Mytilus edulis: one gene and its partner. The protein of the gene in region 1 binds, or shares a complex with, the protein of each later gene. Links are inferred from orthologs where the notes say so. Each region holds a gene or a part of one and is shown in the gene's direction. Other genes may lie near its edges. The genes, in order: H/ACA ribonucleoprotein complex subunit DKC1-like and H/ACA ribonucleoprotein complex subunit 2-like protein.

Region 1 (8,736 bases):
AAATACAATTTTTTATAAATTATTCTGCAACCAAAGTATGGAATAATTTACCACTCCAAATAAAATCAAAGCCTTAAAGGCTGTAAAAGCAATTGCTGCCATGTTAATGTTTGGGGACTTTTATTTTTCATCCACATATATACAAGAATTAAACCTGACATGAGTGTTGTCTAGTTAAAAGTAAGAAGGTTTTAACTTTATATAAATAAAAGACTTTAGCAGAAAGTCATTTTTAATATGTTTTATATTTCACAAGGAGACAACACGTTTACCAGGCTAAAGTTGGGGTCAAATATACATGTGCTGAAACATATAACTCAAAAAGAAATCATCATGGATTATCCCCTGGTAGTGTTTGTAACTTCCTTGACAATAATTTCCTTTATTGATTTAATTTTAATAATTGTCATTATTAATTTATATTTAACCATTAACACAAATGATTAAGTTAAAACATTTCAACTTTCCAGACGCAAATGTTAAAAAACGGGAAAGAAATAAAATATCTTACAAGACATAAACATGTAAAGAATAAATGTATATTTCAGCTTAATAAAAATATTTTCATAATGTTACTTTGTCATCATTTTTAAAACTAAGTTCCAAACATTATTGCTCAGTTGATATGTGTCCTTCTGATGCGGTACGAGCACAGGCACTTGTTTCTATCCATAGGAAGCTTAAGGTCGATTATCCATATAAATAGTTTTATATGGATAGTCGACCTTCCTATGGATAGAAACAAGTGCATGTGGGTACGAGATAACTACAATTCTCATGCAATCCCGAAAAGGGGGGTCATCACAGACAAACATGACATTAAATCGTTATCACTGAACTAGTATATATATTGTATAGGGGCCAGCTGAAGGACGCCTCCGGATGCGGGAATTTTTCGCTGCATTGAAGACCTGTTGGTGACCTTAATTCTGCTGTTGTATGTTTTTCTATGGTCGGGTTGTTGTCTCTTTGACAAATTCCACATTTCCATTCTCAATTTTATTATACGAACAAGAACAAACAGCTCTACGTTGCTTTGATATTTATCAATTTTCAGGAAACATAATTATAGATTATCGTTGATCATCTCAACGAGATTGATTTTCTCGCTTGAGCCGGCACGGCGAAAGCGAGAAAGGCAATCAAGTTGAGATAACCAATGATAATCTGTTTATCGCTATTTTACCTATGACGACGTTGTCAATTTCATGTCATTTCGTTAGCAACGCCACGTGCCTGCTTAGTTTCTTGCGATAATTTTCCATCTCAAGCGAGTAGCATGATATGAAAATTATCACAAAAAAGATCAGAGGAAAAATGCACAAAATAGCGATAAAATTGCTAACACGGTGGAACGTCGAGTGTCAACAAACGTAGTAGACTTGTTCACTGAAAAGACGAGGATAATGGTTTCATCTGACATTTGTTATGCAAACCCAGTTTTGATCATGATATTTAAAAAGACATACTTTTTTTCAATTTATGTATTAATAAACTAGAATATTCCAAATTGTAAATATCTCTTCATCTGGACCGACTTGGCATCTACTACGTTTGGACGGGTCCATTTCATTAGTAAGGTGATCGTTAAATATTACGGAGTTTCGACAGAAAAGGAAAACAAACTTATTGTTATGTGTTTTCAACAAGGGTTTCGTTCCGCTAAATTATTTGCGCAAATAAAGTTTGTCTATTTTTAGATTACAGGTAATAATTTGACACTACGCATTAACCTGTGTAGTGATTTTGATTTTACGATAAATGTATGAATGAACGATAATTTTATGAATGAACAAGAGCACCTGACCTCTTAAAGAAACACAAATTAAACATAAAAAAAACGTATTTATTAGGAGATAATTCAGTTAAATTTTCAATACTAAATCAACAACTGAAATGAATCCATATTTTGTTGAAACATCGTACGAACGGCGGAAAACGGAATCGCATTTTAATATAAAAATGTACTTTTTTTCACTCGGACTTCTATGTTCTTTGATAGTCAAACGGTTGACCCTTTAAATACAAAAATACATCTACAAGAACATATTCTGAAACTTCTTAAATCCACTAACTTTTTTTTTAAGTTTCAAGCTATGTATTGCATTAGAAAACATACATAGGTGTTAAAGAATGACTGACAAGGAGCCTGTTTAACAAAATACTATAAATTGATCTGGGCGGAGTCTCTGATCTGGGTCACAAAGATGGCCATACGCGACGGCATAAAAGCAATTGCTTTAAAAATGTTGTAATGTGGAATTATTCAAGAAACATTGTTATAATCATTTTCTTGAAAATTATATGCAAATCAAATAATTTGTTTTCCTTTAACAAAACTTTATCAAATATTGCCATTTATTACCATTTTATTTGAATAATTGAAATGTGTATATACTAGTAATATATATTGTATTTTAATGTATGAATGTATGAATGTTAACTGTATGCATGCATAGGCGGATCCAGGGGGGCCTGGGCCCCCCCTTTGGTGGGAAAAATTTGGTTGATTATATAGGGAATCATTGAAGCATGACTGGAGCGGGCCCCCCTAGGTCAGTCAGCGGGCCTCCCCTTAGGAAAAGTTCTAGATCCGCCACTGGCATGTATTTTGTTTGAGGGCCTAAAATAAGAAAAATAAGACTAGTTCTAATTGAGTGACCCTCTTTAAATAAAGAATTTATTATTATTACTATTATAATGAAAACAGGTGAAATCTAGATGAATTTATAATTTTCAGGTCTGATAACTTAAATGAAAAAAAAATAATAAAAAAAAAATGATTAAATTATTAATATTGAAATCAAATGATGTTTCATTTAATTGAAATATATATAATTGTACAAATGTAAATAAATTATTTATTATGACATGTTATTTTCGTATTATTGGAGAATAACTTAAAATGTAGCTTAGTTTTTTGTACATATTTTATCTATGAGGGGGCTGATGGGTTATTTCCGTTCTTCGTGATCGGCGCATTTTCGCTATCGTGATCCGTTTTTCTACAGATTTATTTTTCGTGATTCGTGATGAAACCATTGTTCGTGAATCGTTTTCATTGGAATTTTATGTTCGTTCTTCGTGATTGAGACATATTTTTCGTTTTCGTGATTCAGAATCAGATGTGGACTACACTGAAGAAACGGACAATGTTATTGACACCCCAGAATGTCTTAGTTTTCTTCAAGGGACAACCAGCAGGAGTGGGAGAACAATCAGGCTCAGCAGTAAATTTTATTGACAAAATAAATATATATACTTTATAATCTCTTAGTTTAGCCTCAAGATAAAACACAGATGTGGTTCCGTGGTATTTACGCCAGTAAAACATTTCTATGAAATATTATTATTATACAATAAAAGAAGTCAGAATGTGACTGTTTTTAACGATTTAATTTAGAACCTGGGAGAATTCAACATGTAAACAAGTAATGAGCCAGTAATGCATTTGATTGTAGCTTAATTGCACCAAACAACCAGCTTCTGAATCTCTATTATCGAGATTGATTGGTGATACTCTTTTTATATTTTCGTGATCCGTGATCATGGAAATTTATTTTCTGTGACTCGTGATTGACAAAAAAATCAACTCGTGAATCGTGATGAGACCCCCCCATCAGGCCCCTCATCTATAAGTGGGGTGAGTTGGCAGACAAAATTCAATGGCATTACTTTCTTTTTCATAAGTGGAGCGAGTTGGCATTTACATCACAGAAATGCTGATAATCACGTCTTTCTGCTTTATTTAAACAAAACCAAAAAACTACTAAAACATGTTTATCTATGGTTTTCAAAGATATTGATTTTATTGATAAGTGGGACAGGAACATACATTGTAGATATACATGTACAATGAGATTGCATATTTTTTCATAAGTGGGGCAAGTTGGCATTACTAAATTCGTTATGGTTTACCTATTTGTCATGAGAGGGGCGAGTTGGCAGACCTTATTTCAGCAGGATTTAAACCCTTTTCATTAGTGGGGCAAGTAATCCAACTTATTTTAAATGGGATTTTACCCTTTTTCATATTAAGGGCGATTTGGTAAACAAGAGTAGTGCTATTTTTTAGAAAGTGGGGCAAGTTGGTGAAAACATGGGGCGATTTTCTATGGATTCGTATAATTCATTACCAAAAGGAATAACCAGGAAGAACATTTCATTGTTTACAATACACCTTATCACTATTTGTCCGCCATTGCTGGATATCCCACAGGTTCCCGTAAAATTTTGACGTCATAAAACAAAATATCTGACGCCACAATGGAAAAGTTATTGTTGTATGCGTCAAAAGTTCAAGCGGTCGGGTCAGCCGGGATTAGCAATAAGGTGTATGCCAAGTATGTCATAGGCAATGGGACCAACATCAGATATGTTTCCACTACCACTGAGTAAGATGCCTTATTTTATGTAAATTTATGTAAATGCTGTCGTCGAACTATTTCTGTGAAAAATACTCTAAGTTTAAGCGTTGTGACATCGGAAATATATATGAAACATGAAATTATTTTGATGTCGTTTGTTTACATTTGCTTACACTTACAGGGAAAAGTGCCCCTTGCTACTGATGATATTTTACCCCTCCCTTATACTTTTAGCATCCAAAGAGGAATCTGAAATCTCAAGACTCGAGAGATGTACAGTAAAATCTACCAAAACCTCCAGCACTATTGCGAATTTTTTGTTGATTGAGGCATTTTCCAATTTTTCGCCAATTCAGTAAATCAATGTATTGAACAATCGATGAAACGAGATGTAAAAGGATATAAACTGAAACGCTTAACTAACTTAGATTGTGTCATCGGAGTTCTCTTGACTTTACATAATCTTCTCTGTTCTCTTGACTTTTCGTTAAATACAATTACAAACACGTGTTGAAAACAGACCATGGCCGACACAAGCGGTATTTTGAATTTGTATTTTTTCTAATTACATCTCACAGGAATATGATGATGCCCTTGTCAGCATTTGTCAATCATGTTTTTGCTTATTGAAACATAATACTAACGTTGCACTGTTGCATATTTGGCAGAATACATTTTAAACACAAACAACAGTGGGACACAACTACATGCCTAACACCTGAACACGTGGTGTGCCAAATTTTTTTTTTTTTTAAATCGCTTAATTGCATTTATTTGTTAAAGTACATTGATGTCATTACTTTGATAATCAAATACTGGCTATTGTCATTTTTCTATTGATATGTCTTATGCTTGAAAATTGTGTTTTACACAGCTGATTCAGTGATTGTTTTGCCAGTTTATTTATCATAATAATATTGTATTGTATTGTATGTATCAGCTCTTGTGTAATTGTAATGCTATTTTATTCTATTGTTTTGATGTTGTCTTCCTACTTTATCATTAAGGCGAAGCCTTTAAATATTTAGCTTGACATCGAAAGGAAATTTTGCCTAGTCCAATAATAATTGACTTGTCTTATGCCGACAAGTTGGACAGAATCCAATTGCACCAACTAATATAGCTGCGGAACTGAAGCTCATAGGTCCTTATGTTATTATTTGACTTTTTGCAGACCATAGAGCTACCGATTTTTCCTATTTCAAAATGTTAGGAATTGCGACCCAGGTCCAGGTCGCACTTATTTCCCCAAAAAATATTGTTTATAATCCATGCAAAGCTTGTCAATGAATATAATAGGCGAGAATGTATACAAATAGGATAAATTAGATAGTGTTAAGAAATGAATATTCAAACATAAATAGGTACGTCATGTCCTAGAAAAATGTCTATGAAACGAACTATATTCATTGACGAGCTTTGCATGGATTATAAACAATTTTTTGAGGGAAATAAGTGCGACCTGAACCTGGGTCGCAATTCCGAACATTTTGAAATAGAAATTTTTTTTAGCTCTACGGTCCACAAAAAGTCAAAAATAACATGAGGACCTATGAGCTACGGTTCTTCAGCTACAACTTATAAGAATACTCCAAAAATATTTTCATAAATAACGAGCACTAGCAAAATCACTGGCATGTTTGTCATTTTTTGTCATAATGTACAAGTGACAAGAGCCCATGATTGGTATAATAAATTAATGTCTAATGTGAAAATACATATATACTTGGTCTGAGTTTGTCATGATAATACTTAATTTCTGTAAGCAAGTACAGCTTATTGCATACACACAATATAAATAGACAATAGACAAATATAAAGCATAATATTACATTTACACAATAAATTATTTAAATCGATGAAAGAATTAAGACAATTGATTTTTGTTCTTCTGGCTTTCCATAGTGTTTTAAATTTCATTAAGACTGAACGTAAGGGAATGTTTTCTTCAAAGTTGAAATATTCTAGCAAACAAAATATTTCTGGAAGTAAAGAAGTTTAGTTACCGTAGATACTCGCCTATTAGTCGATCCGACTATAAGTCGGATGCCCTTTTCAGCTCCAAATTCTGAGGATTTAGTCTTGACCCTCGTATAAGTCGGACAAAATTTGGACATTTTTTTTGCAGTTGACAGTTACTGAACGCCGGTAAAACCAATGCAAATCCAGGAATTATATTCATTTTCTGCATGAATGTTTGTTTGGTTTGGATTTAGTTGATGTTGATTATGATAATTTATATAGCTGTTAATAATAAAGATTTATTTATTCCTGTTGTTTTGTTCACTGTTTGATTACAGATTAGCCATGTGTTGTTTACGTAATGCATCAATGATTTTGTAGGGTATGACTAACAACCTATTGTTTGAGAAAAGCGAGCATAAACCAATATGAACCTGAAAAAATTTAAAGTAAATCAATATTTTTCACAGCACACATAACTCAGTGTTAAAGGAGCATGTACACTTCATAATTCTTATTATATTGTGATGATTAAAGGATTAAAAAAAATTAAGTGAAGCTAATCAACTTTATATTAAAATAAATCCCAACTCATTAGTGTCATCTGTTCACCTATCACTGATATTTTTCACACCTTTAGTGAATACAACTCTTTGTCTCTTAATTAGGGGTTATCAATGGATTATATTGGCTTGCCAATCAATTTTGTAATCTTTGTGTTTACCTGTGACATTTTAATGAATAATATTTTGATCTTGGGAATGAATCTTAAAATTATTTTTTATTATTGTATGATTTATAAGTATTAAATTGATATCATGATATCACAATAATGACACAATAACTCCGCTGAATACATCCTTTTACATAGTTGGTACATTGTTATCTCGTTTTCATTTTTGGTTCTTGGCTTTCTTTTGGGTTTATGCACAAACCATTTGACCATAAAAATCAATACACAAACCGGAAACAGTCGAAAATTCAACACAAATTGACAGAAAACGGTTAACAGAGAACAAATAAAACACAAAGATAGTATTGTAGTCATTTATTTTCAACAAAAACTTTTAATTTAGGGATTTATGTAGGTTTGGCAATCAATGACGTAGTTTTGACCAGGAAATTCACTCCTGACCACTTTTCTCGAGCTTGGATTTTTTCTCTGGTCGCTGGATCTCGCTTATAAGTCGGTACCCCTCTCTGGATTCTGAATTTTACTCCCAAACTTCCGACTTATAAGCGAGTACCTACGGTACTGAACTACAGGATACACATGTATATCAAAAAATGTTTGTTTGCTTCTTGAAGATACAATTCCAGCCAAAATTACCATGACTTACTTTTTGAAATTAAATAGCTAAATCCTTCACTTTTGAAAAGTAAAAAATATATTTTGCTTGCACAATACTTTTTACATGTTGATTACACAGACACCACATGTTAGAAGGAACCTAATCCAAGGTTATCTGAACTTTGTTTTAATCCCTTAATTTTGTTATTCTTTTTTGTTTTCAGCTAAGAAAAAGAAGAAACAAGAAAGTATAGCAGTAAGTGATATTCAAATTTGGATTGAATTTTTATACTTCAATGTACACCAGTTGTCTCCTGGCCTTGGTCTAACTTAGAATTTCATTAGCGTTAGTTTTAGCCCAATTAACTTCACAGCAACTATGGTTTGAACAATTTTTTCAATATCCACTAATTTAACTTGCAAAACCCTTTGGAAAGAACAAGAATCGTAAGAGTTGTCCAACACACACATATTTTTAGCTCACCTGACCTGAAAGGTCAAGTGAGCTTTTCTCATCACTTGGCGTCCGTCGTCCGTAAACTTTTACAAAAATCTTCTCCTCTGAAACTACTGGGCCAAATTTAACCAAACTTGGCCACAATCATCATTGGGGTATCTAGTTTTAAAAATGTGTAGCGTGACCCTGCCAACCAACCAAGATGTCCGCCACGGCTAAAAATAGAACATGGGGGTAAAATGCAGTTTTTGGCTTATAACTCAAAAACCAAAGCATATAGAGCAAATCTGACAAGGGGTTAAATTGTTGATCAGGTCAAGATCTATCTTCCCCGAAATTTTCAGACGAATCGGATAACCTGTTGTTGGGTTGCTGCCCCTGAATTGGTTATTTTAAGGAAATTTTGCAGTTTTTGGTTATTTTCTTGAATACTATTATAGATAGAGATAAACTGTAAACAGCAATAATGTTCAGCAAATTAAGACCTACAAATAAGTCAGCAAGATCAAAATTGTCAGTCATTCCCTTAAGGAGTTTTTGCCCTTTATAGTCAATTTTTAACAACTTTTCGTCATTTTTTGTAACTTGTACAAAAATCTTCTTCTCTGAAACTACATGGCCAAATTTAACCAAACTTGGCCACAATTATCATTGTGGTA
Region 2 (8,278 bases), on another chromosome or scaffold:
ATTTGATAACAAAGTTAATCCTTTTCGGAAATAAATGAATGGATAAGAAGATTACAGGTACAAGCAAAATTCTTAACAGCCATTGGCTCTTTGGTTGAGTTGTTTTTCGACACTTTCACTATTTCTACTCTCAATTTTATTATCATACAAAGGATATCTTAAATAGAGTAGATTCAAACTGAATCTTTCACTATGACTCTCAAGTTATACACAGGTAACAGTTTTAAACTGCAGTCTACTATATTTTATTGTTAAATGTTTTTCTTCAAGCAATATTTTCAGTTTTTTAGTTGACATATTTTAGAAAATCAAGGAATCATTAAAATAATCTTCTCTCGTGCAAACATTTACTCAAAGAACGAGAATCATTAAGAATACCTCATTAATAGCCTAATGATAGGTAATGCATGCATGTTTTCTTTAAAACGTACAAGTTAAAAGTCCAAAATTAAACTGTTTACAGTGGGCATATTGGGTACTAGCATCTTCAACTCACCCTTCAAGGTACCAGTATAAAAGTTTCCAGTGTCAATATCAAGTGGTCTCTCCACTCCATTACTGCTTACCACAGCTTTGAAATCATCAGACACAACTTTAGTTTGCTTCACATACAAATGAAAATTTCTGAAGCAAAAAAAAAATTTTTGTTCACCATTTGTACACACGAGTCACAAAAATCAAATGTTCTAAATAATTATTTTGATATATTTCCTTGTTATGATTTTTTTTAAGTTGCAGAGTGATTAGGTATTACGTTATCAGTTTATAGTGATATATATGATTTAAAAATTTAAAACTTCTGAATAATGTATGAAGCCTATCATGAAGAACCTCACTGTAACTCTAAAATACATTGTTTCTAATTTTGTCATGGCAGGGCTTTTATTGGTGACCATACAGTATGGGTCTATGTTGAAGGTTATAAGGTGACCTTAAGTTGTTCACATCAATGTCATTTGGAATTTATTAAATAATTGTCTCATTGGCAATCATAGTCATGATAGTAATAGCATATCACCTTATTCCTTTTTATAAGTGGTACATGTAAGTGTACCAAACTTGAATTTTTCACCTAATGTTTGCGTTATATATTACCATGATTACAGATAGGATATATTATTTCTTTTTACTGCTCACTGAAATTCAATATTTTTTATCTTATTTGTCAGATACCACTTTTGTCTGTATAATTTCTAACATTATTACAAATATTTTTTTTGAGTGTTGTTGTTTTTATTGTCGACATAAATATTTGTTTAGTAAATGAGAAATAAATTGCCATACATTTTATATCAATATAAATGGACAACAGTTCTTGTGGATTGAGTGGGGAAAATGTACTTTTATAGATACTTAATTCAAAGGCTTTGATGAATCTAAAAAATAGTATATTGTAAATTTCAACTCATAAATTTGTGGTTCAGGTTAATCATACACTAAAAAATTAATGACAAATCCACAGACTTTACAACATATGTACAAAACAAAACCATACCTCCCTAAAGATGAGAACCAAATTTCATGCAGGTGAGAACTTGGGTGTGGATCCACACTTCGTCTTACACGCTTATTTATATCAACTGTCTTCAGGGTCTCAAAATAGTCCAAATTACTTGATATATCAGCTGAAAAAGAAGATATAAAGTCCATTCCCAATGTGAGTTTGATTTGAAAAAATTAGGAAAAAAAATCCGAAATTTTAATGTACAAAAATCAAATTTTAACACCTAAAAGAAAATAAAAAGAGGGTGCAATGCCTCAACAATACTCAAGGGCCTGTGAATGGGTGACCAGTTGACTTTTTGTTAAACAGATCATTTAGATATTTCTATATTTTATTTTAAAGTCTAAGTTGACATAAAAGTCAATAATGACACAAGGTAAAATGCTTTTTCTATAATTTCAACTTGTGACTAAAATTGATTTTATCTTATCAAATTATTAAACCCCTTTTTGGTTTTATAAAACGAAGAATAATTGACCAGGGTTTTCAAGAACATGCAGAGCAAATATTTCAGCATCTCCAAAATTAGTTTTTCCAGAGTGTTTACATCATACCTGTCAACTGACCCGGATTCTGCGGGTGTGACCCGAGATTTTCACAATTCTGAGGGATCACCCGGATCACCCGCCGGTAAACTTTACATTAGAATGAACTTGCAGATTGTGTTGATGCTTTAAGAAATAGATCAGATGTAATAAGCATTGGGTATAAGTTTCATAACATTTGGTTGAGGCAACTAAAGTTTAAGAACAGAAACTAAACATTTTGCATTTTTTCCCATTTATAAAGGTGCATAACTCGAGAATGGTTAAAGTGACCCCACCATAATTCAAACTTGATCTGTATTTTGTGGTAATAAGCATTGTGTATAAGTTTAATAATATTTGGTTGAGCGAACTTAAGTTAAAGAACGAAAACTAAAATTTTTGTAATTTTTCCATTTAAAACAGGGTATAACTTCAGAACCATACACCTCATCGTTATTTCTGGCTGAATGGAGAATCTGTCCCATTTGAACTATTGACGTCAAACAACAATTACTTTTCCATTTGCATGTACATGATAGCGCCATAGTACCGGGATATTCCACTCTGGCACCGAAGTCTTTCCCGTACCAGGAAGTATCAGGTTCGTTCACGCCCAATACACTTTCGCACCCTACACGTTATCACCTCGCACTTTCGCACCCAAGGTCCGTTCACACTCTACATGTTTGCGCCCGATTTTTATTCAAATTCCAGTTGAATAATTGGAAAATCATGATTGTTGTTATAAATTGCTTTGGTGTAAATAAAACATTCAAGATTTTAAATGAAAACACAAAAGATAATTGTTTTTAACAGCTTGGTCCCTTTAATCTGAAACAATAAAATAAAGCGATACACTATTATAACCAAAACATGATAAAATTTATTCAACACACACAAAAAAACGTAGTCAGAATCACACTTTATTTTGAAACAAGTCAATGAAACAAAGTTACATGTATAGCAATACACTAACCAAAACATGATTAAGAGTTATTCAACACAAAATAAAACGTTGACAGAATCCCACTTTATTTAGAAAGGATTATTTTTTTTTTTAACAATACACTATCCAAAACATGACTAAGATTTATTCAACACAAAAAAAAATGCTGTCTCACTTTATTTTGAATCAATGACAACAAATATAAGAACACACTTGCCAAAACTTGATTACAAAGATATAGTTATTAAACACAAAACCAATTAAAATTGGGCGCGAACATGTAGGGTGCGAAAGTGAAAGGGGGCGAACATGAGTGGGTGCGAATGTGAATCAGCGCGAAAGGACCTAGATTCGTACTACGATTGAAGAAGAAAAAGGGATATCCTTCCCATTGCATTTGGAGATTTTGAAAGTTGCTTTTTTTATACAGGTTGGGAACAAACCCCCTGTATGGTGATTATACCTCTATAGAGGGATAATCCTTCTATAGAGGGGTAAAATTATCCCTCTATAGAGGGGTATTTTTGTTTAGACTGAATTTAAATCAAAATAGGGCAGAATGGCATTCTCTACTTATTATGGCAGTAACCTGGAACAGTTGATGCACCAATTGATGTACTTAATTAAATATGCACATGCCCAGTTTGATGCTTATCTGACTAAATATAAAATCTATTGTTCACCATGATTGAAAGCTGTGATGATCAGGTAAATTCTACTCACTTATGCCTCACTGAACAGAATTTCTATTGTTAGATTTAAAATGAAATTTAAAGGTCAACTATTCCCTTTGTTGTTGATCAGGTGTTCAAATAGGTTTACAATAGATTGCATGTTTTGTCACTTTAGCAGAAAACTGGTTATCCCAATTTTTAGTAAAGTGCATATGTTGATGCATATAATGCTAGAGATTAGAGCCAATATAACTAGAAAATGCCATTCTGCCCTAATTTGCTTTAAATCCAGTGCAAACAAAAATAACCCTCTATAGAGGGATAATTTTACCCCTCTATAGAAGGATTATTCCTCTATAGAGGTATAATCCCCATACAGGGGGTTTGTTCCCAACCTGTTATAGTTCAATAGTTGGCACCTTTTATATGTGTTATGGAAATTACCAACATGGATAGTTGTTTTTCTGAAAAATCTTCCCTTCAAGATGGAAGAAATGTATTTTGTGTGTATATTCAATAATTACCTCTACTCGAAAATACACAAAAAGAAGAAATAATGATAACCGAAAGTAGTTTTTCCATCACAGCCTATATTATCTGGTACCTTGTATACAATTTTGTGTGGTGTAAAGAAACCAGTTCAAAGTCTGGATCGCCCGTGTGATTTTAGATTGCAGTATTTTCATCAATGTTAAAAGCTATTTTTATCACTTTAGCACGTGGAGGGACCAAAAATACAAAACAAACTCTAAAAAGCACGCTGTGAAATGGGAAAATCAAGCAAAGAAAAACGAAGATCTGAGGTAGAGGATGAAGCAGGGGACGGAGGTGACAGTAAAGAAATATGGCAAGAGAAAATCAAGTACCAGAGTTCTATTTCCCAGCCGTTAGCCCCAAGAAAATTGACAAAAAGAATTTACAAAGCTGTTAAGAAAGGTACATGTACATGTAGCTAAGAATGAGATTGTTTAAATGTTATTCTCTGTTGTTTCTGTGCTTAATGAATGACTTATGTTCATAATAGAGCTTTCTTTAATAAAATATTTTGTAATGCCGACTACTGGTTCATCATAAATTATAAATGGACAAAAGTGGCTGTGTTAGACCTCACAAATTGTCTACCCTTTGAGTACAGACTAAACTGTCCCGTTGGAAAAGACTATCAACTGGCAGTAGATCATACCCGTAGCCCGAAACCCCCCCCCCCCCCTTGAAATCAAATAAGCACTTTTAAAGCCAACGTTTTGTTCAAATTGTGACTTAAAGTCGAGTTCACAAGTCCAATGAACCCCCCCTTGGAAATTCCTGGCTACAGGCCTGTAGATGATAACAATGTTAATATGACCTCACACTCTATTATTATGCAGAAGTTATAAGAGGGGCGGAAAGGGACACAGGCACTTGTTTCTATCCATACGAAGGTCGACTATCCATATCTATTTATATGGATAGTCGACCTTCGTATGGATAGAAACAAGTGCCTGTGGAAAGGGAGGGTATCTGCACGGAAGAACGCAAAATAAAATTGCCATTTCATGACAAGCGAACAATTAAAAATTTCCTGCTCGTTGATCTTTTTAACAAATTTCACAAAACACAGTGAATAATGAACCTTTTTCATGGCTGCACGTGAAATAAAAATGGCAAAACACGTTGCACAAAAATAACCCTTTACCACCCTCTTATAATTGCCCTGTATTACATGGTGGGAAGTTTCCCATGCTGGAATAAAACTTCAACACATCAAAAAAATCTAAAATCACTGGGTTTTCTAAAACAAAATTTAAAAACAACATATCCACACATAAAATCCCAGGCATACCAAGCACTCGTCAGACTCAAACTTGAAAATTCCTGTTCTGTTTGGGACCCTCACACAACCAAGTCTGTATCCAAAATTGAGATGGTCCAACGACGAGCTGCACGGTATGACTGCAATAAATACCATAATACAAGTAGTGTTACAAACATGCTTACGACACTTAACTTACCATCATTAGCAGAACGCAGACCGCATAAGATTGGTAATGATGTACAAAATATAATATCATCTTGTTGCTATTCCATCAGTCATACTCATAAAAGCAGACTCAAGAACAAAAAAAAATGTACACTCTCATATAGGCATATTCTTACATCGAAAGACTCCTACAGACATTCATACTTTCCTTACACAATACCACAGTGGAACCAGCTCCTTGTGGTACTAGTTCAGGCACCATCCATTAATAGCTTCAAAGAACAGCTCACTTCAGCTGTTTTCTGTTCTATTAATTAAAAGTATCAATTTAAATTGTACATAGTTTTAATCACAAATTTAACATTTCATTGCACTTTAATTATATTTCGTTTAAATTAGGGTAAACATGTTGACCACATCTTCCTATATCTATGTAAATAGTCCACGTATGCGAACAGTATGTAATCATCGAAATCAATGAAATATTGTATACCTACAGAAGAAGAAGAAGAAAGTTTATGGAATTTGAAATAGTGAAAATTTTCAGTAAGTTACTAGCTTTAGTTATGTTGCTGTTACAAATCAGTTTGATATGACTATTTCTTTCATGTACTTTTATGTTTTCAGCTTCAAAACAGAAACAATTAAGAAAAGGTGTGAGAGAAGTGCAAAAATTTATTAGAAAAGGAGAAAAGGGGTGAGTACATTTTTGTACATCTGACTTCACAAAAAGTACATGTAGGAAGTTTTTGTTGGACTTGTCAACCAGGAAATGTTAAAATCACTCCTGTTTATCTGACATCACAAAAAGTACAAGTAGGAAATTTTAGGCCACTGCTTACAAAATCATGACTGAGAGCATCACTCATGCAAATACTTTATTATGAATTTTATACCATCTGCTCATCACTCATAGACCACTTATACTCATCATTCATTATATTTATGGCTGTTTACTTCATTGTTTTTATTGTAATAAACAATTTTATTCATATTTTTGTTAAAACAAGGCAATTGTGCCTAACATATATATTACTGAATTCAGGTTAATGTTGTAGAAATCTATTTGTAAGGATATTACCAGAACAAAGGTTATCTGTAAAAAGTAAAGAAACTTGAGAGTTAGCACTCAAATTTAGGCAGTGGGGCAACAGGACATTAATACTTTTAAAAAGTAGGCCTAAGAATGAAGACAAATACTTTTTAAATGACTAATAAGAATTTGTTATTAACTCATACATTCCCTTTAACACAATGGACAACACATATTAACATGACTAATGAGATTTTCTTTTTTACTAGGATTGTTATATTAGCTGGTGATGTAAGCCCAGTTGATGTTATTTGTCACATGCCTTTGGTTTGTGAAGAGGAGGGACTACCATACTGTTACACACCATCAAAAGAGGTATGACTACATTTATGTTGTTGTTTGAAATTTTTAATGCTACAGGTTATGCATCATACCATGATGTATTGGTACATGTCTCTCAAAAAAGAAATTTATCAGTACATGAAAATTCTCTACACTATCTAAAACATTTACCAAATGTAAGACTTGAAATGAAATATTAAAGTTTTTTCCTTTCAAGACGAAGGTTAGACAAAATGATGACAACCGAAACTAGTCAACCGTTGGAAATATAATAACACAGAAACTATGTCAAAAACACAAAACACAAAAAACTTTTTCCAGAAAACAACCACTATCTGACTTTTGGAAGGAATTTAGATTCTACTGGAGGGTAAGCATTTTTATTTGCTTGTACATGTACAACTTCCATACAGAATATTCTGTAAGTGCTTATTCTCTCAGTTTCTTTTAAAAATTGAAATGATACTGGTAAGTGAAAGCAATTTTTAAAAATGAAAAGGTTCTCTCCTGTTACTCCCTCCTGTTACTCCAGCTTCCTCCAGCAGTTAAAACTGACTGCCACAATATAGCTAATTGTGTGGAAAGTGGTGTTAAAGACCACAAATAAATCAATCATTCCTTAAATTCTGGTTTTCATTAGAAAGGTGTATATATATACATGAATATACATTTTTTCATGGATATCACAAAATTTTGAATTGTTTTCTCAACTTTTATGTGATTTATGTGAGAATAAAAATATTTCTAATTCTATAATGCTTTCTAGCAAAGTAAATTTTGTTATGGCAGTTATCTTATAAATGAATAAAATAAATAAGCTGATGAAAACTTAGACAATATTTGCAAATAAAAGAATTACTTGATGCAATTTTGTTGAAAAATTATCAAGGCTAAGAAAAGACATCAAAACCACTCAGCCTGTAATACTCTTTTATATAAAAGAAATATTTAAACTACTTCTTTATTAAACGTCTACTCATCGTAAAATTGAATTGATTTTGAATACTTTTGAATAGATAACCAATATGTTTGCTAGTGATTTTGTATTAAATACTATTGTCAGTTTGAATTATTTCCCTTGAAAAAGCTGGTTTTCAATAATTTATTTAATAATTCATTACCTTTACACTCATTTAAAAAAAGAATAAAGGAAAATAAATTTTAGCACTTTATTGTAATCTAATTCAATATATTGATATATTTTTAAATCATATTTAAATAAAATTGTAGATAATAATGTACAAATATAGTCATGTTATACATGTTTTAAAATAGTGACATATTACTTTTTA

The links.
Region 2: H/ACA ribonucleoprotein complex subunit DKC1-like (region 1) and H/ACA ribonucleoprotein complex subunit 2-like protein share a complex: the UniProt entries of both Drosophila melanogaster proteins name them as parts of the box H/ACA small nucleolar ribonucleoprotein (H/ACA snoRNP) complex. The link is inferred for Mytilus edulis from reciprocal best matches to the Drosophila melanogaster genes Nop60B and NHP2.

Annotation. Positions count from the first base shown.
Region 1 is NC_092346.1:91,534,273-91,543,008, reverse strand, and holds the start of H/ACA ribonucleoprotein complex subunit DKC1-like, read left to right. Parts: upstream 1-4,791; 5' UTR 4,792-4,890; coding exon 4,891-4,906; intron 4,907-7,844; coding exon 7,845-7,876; intron 7,877-8,736. UniProt on the Drosophila melanogaster protein: Catalytic subunit of the box H/ACA small nucleolar ribonucleoprotein (H/ACA snoRNP) complex, which catalyzes pseudouridylation of rRNA. This involves the isomerization of uridine such that the ribose is subsequently attached to C5, instead of the normal N1.
Region 2 is NC_092347.1:73,995,388-74,003,665, forward strand, and holds the start of H/ACA ribonucleoprotein complex subunit 2-like protein, read left to right. Parts: upstream 1-4,341; 5' UTR 4,342-4,418; coding exon 4,419-4,587; intron 4,588-6,238; coding exon 6,239-6,308; intron 6,309-6,913; coding exon 6,914-7,019; intron 7,020-8,278. Other genes in the region: ADAM 17-like protease, read right to left, coding at 497-624, 1,496-1,625, 4,176-4,233. UniProt on the Drosophila melanogaster protein: Component of the box H/ACA small nucleolar ribonucleoprotein (H/ACA snoRNP) complex, which catalyzes pseudouridylation of rRNA. This involves the isomerization of uridine such that the ribose is subsequently attached to C5, instead of the normal N1.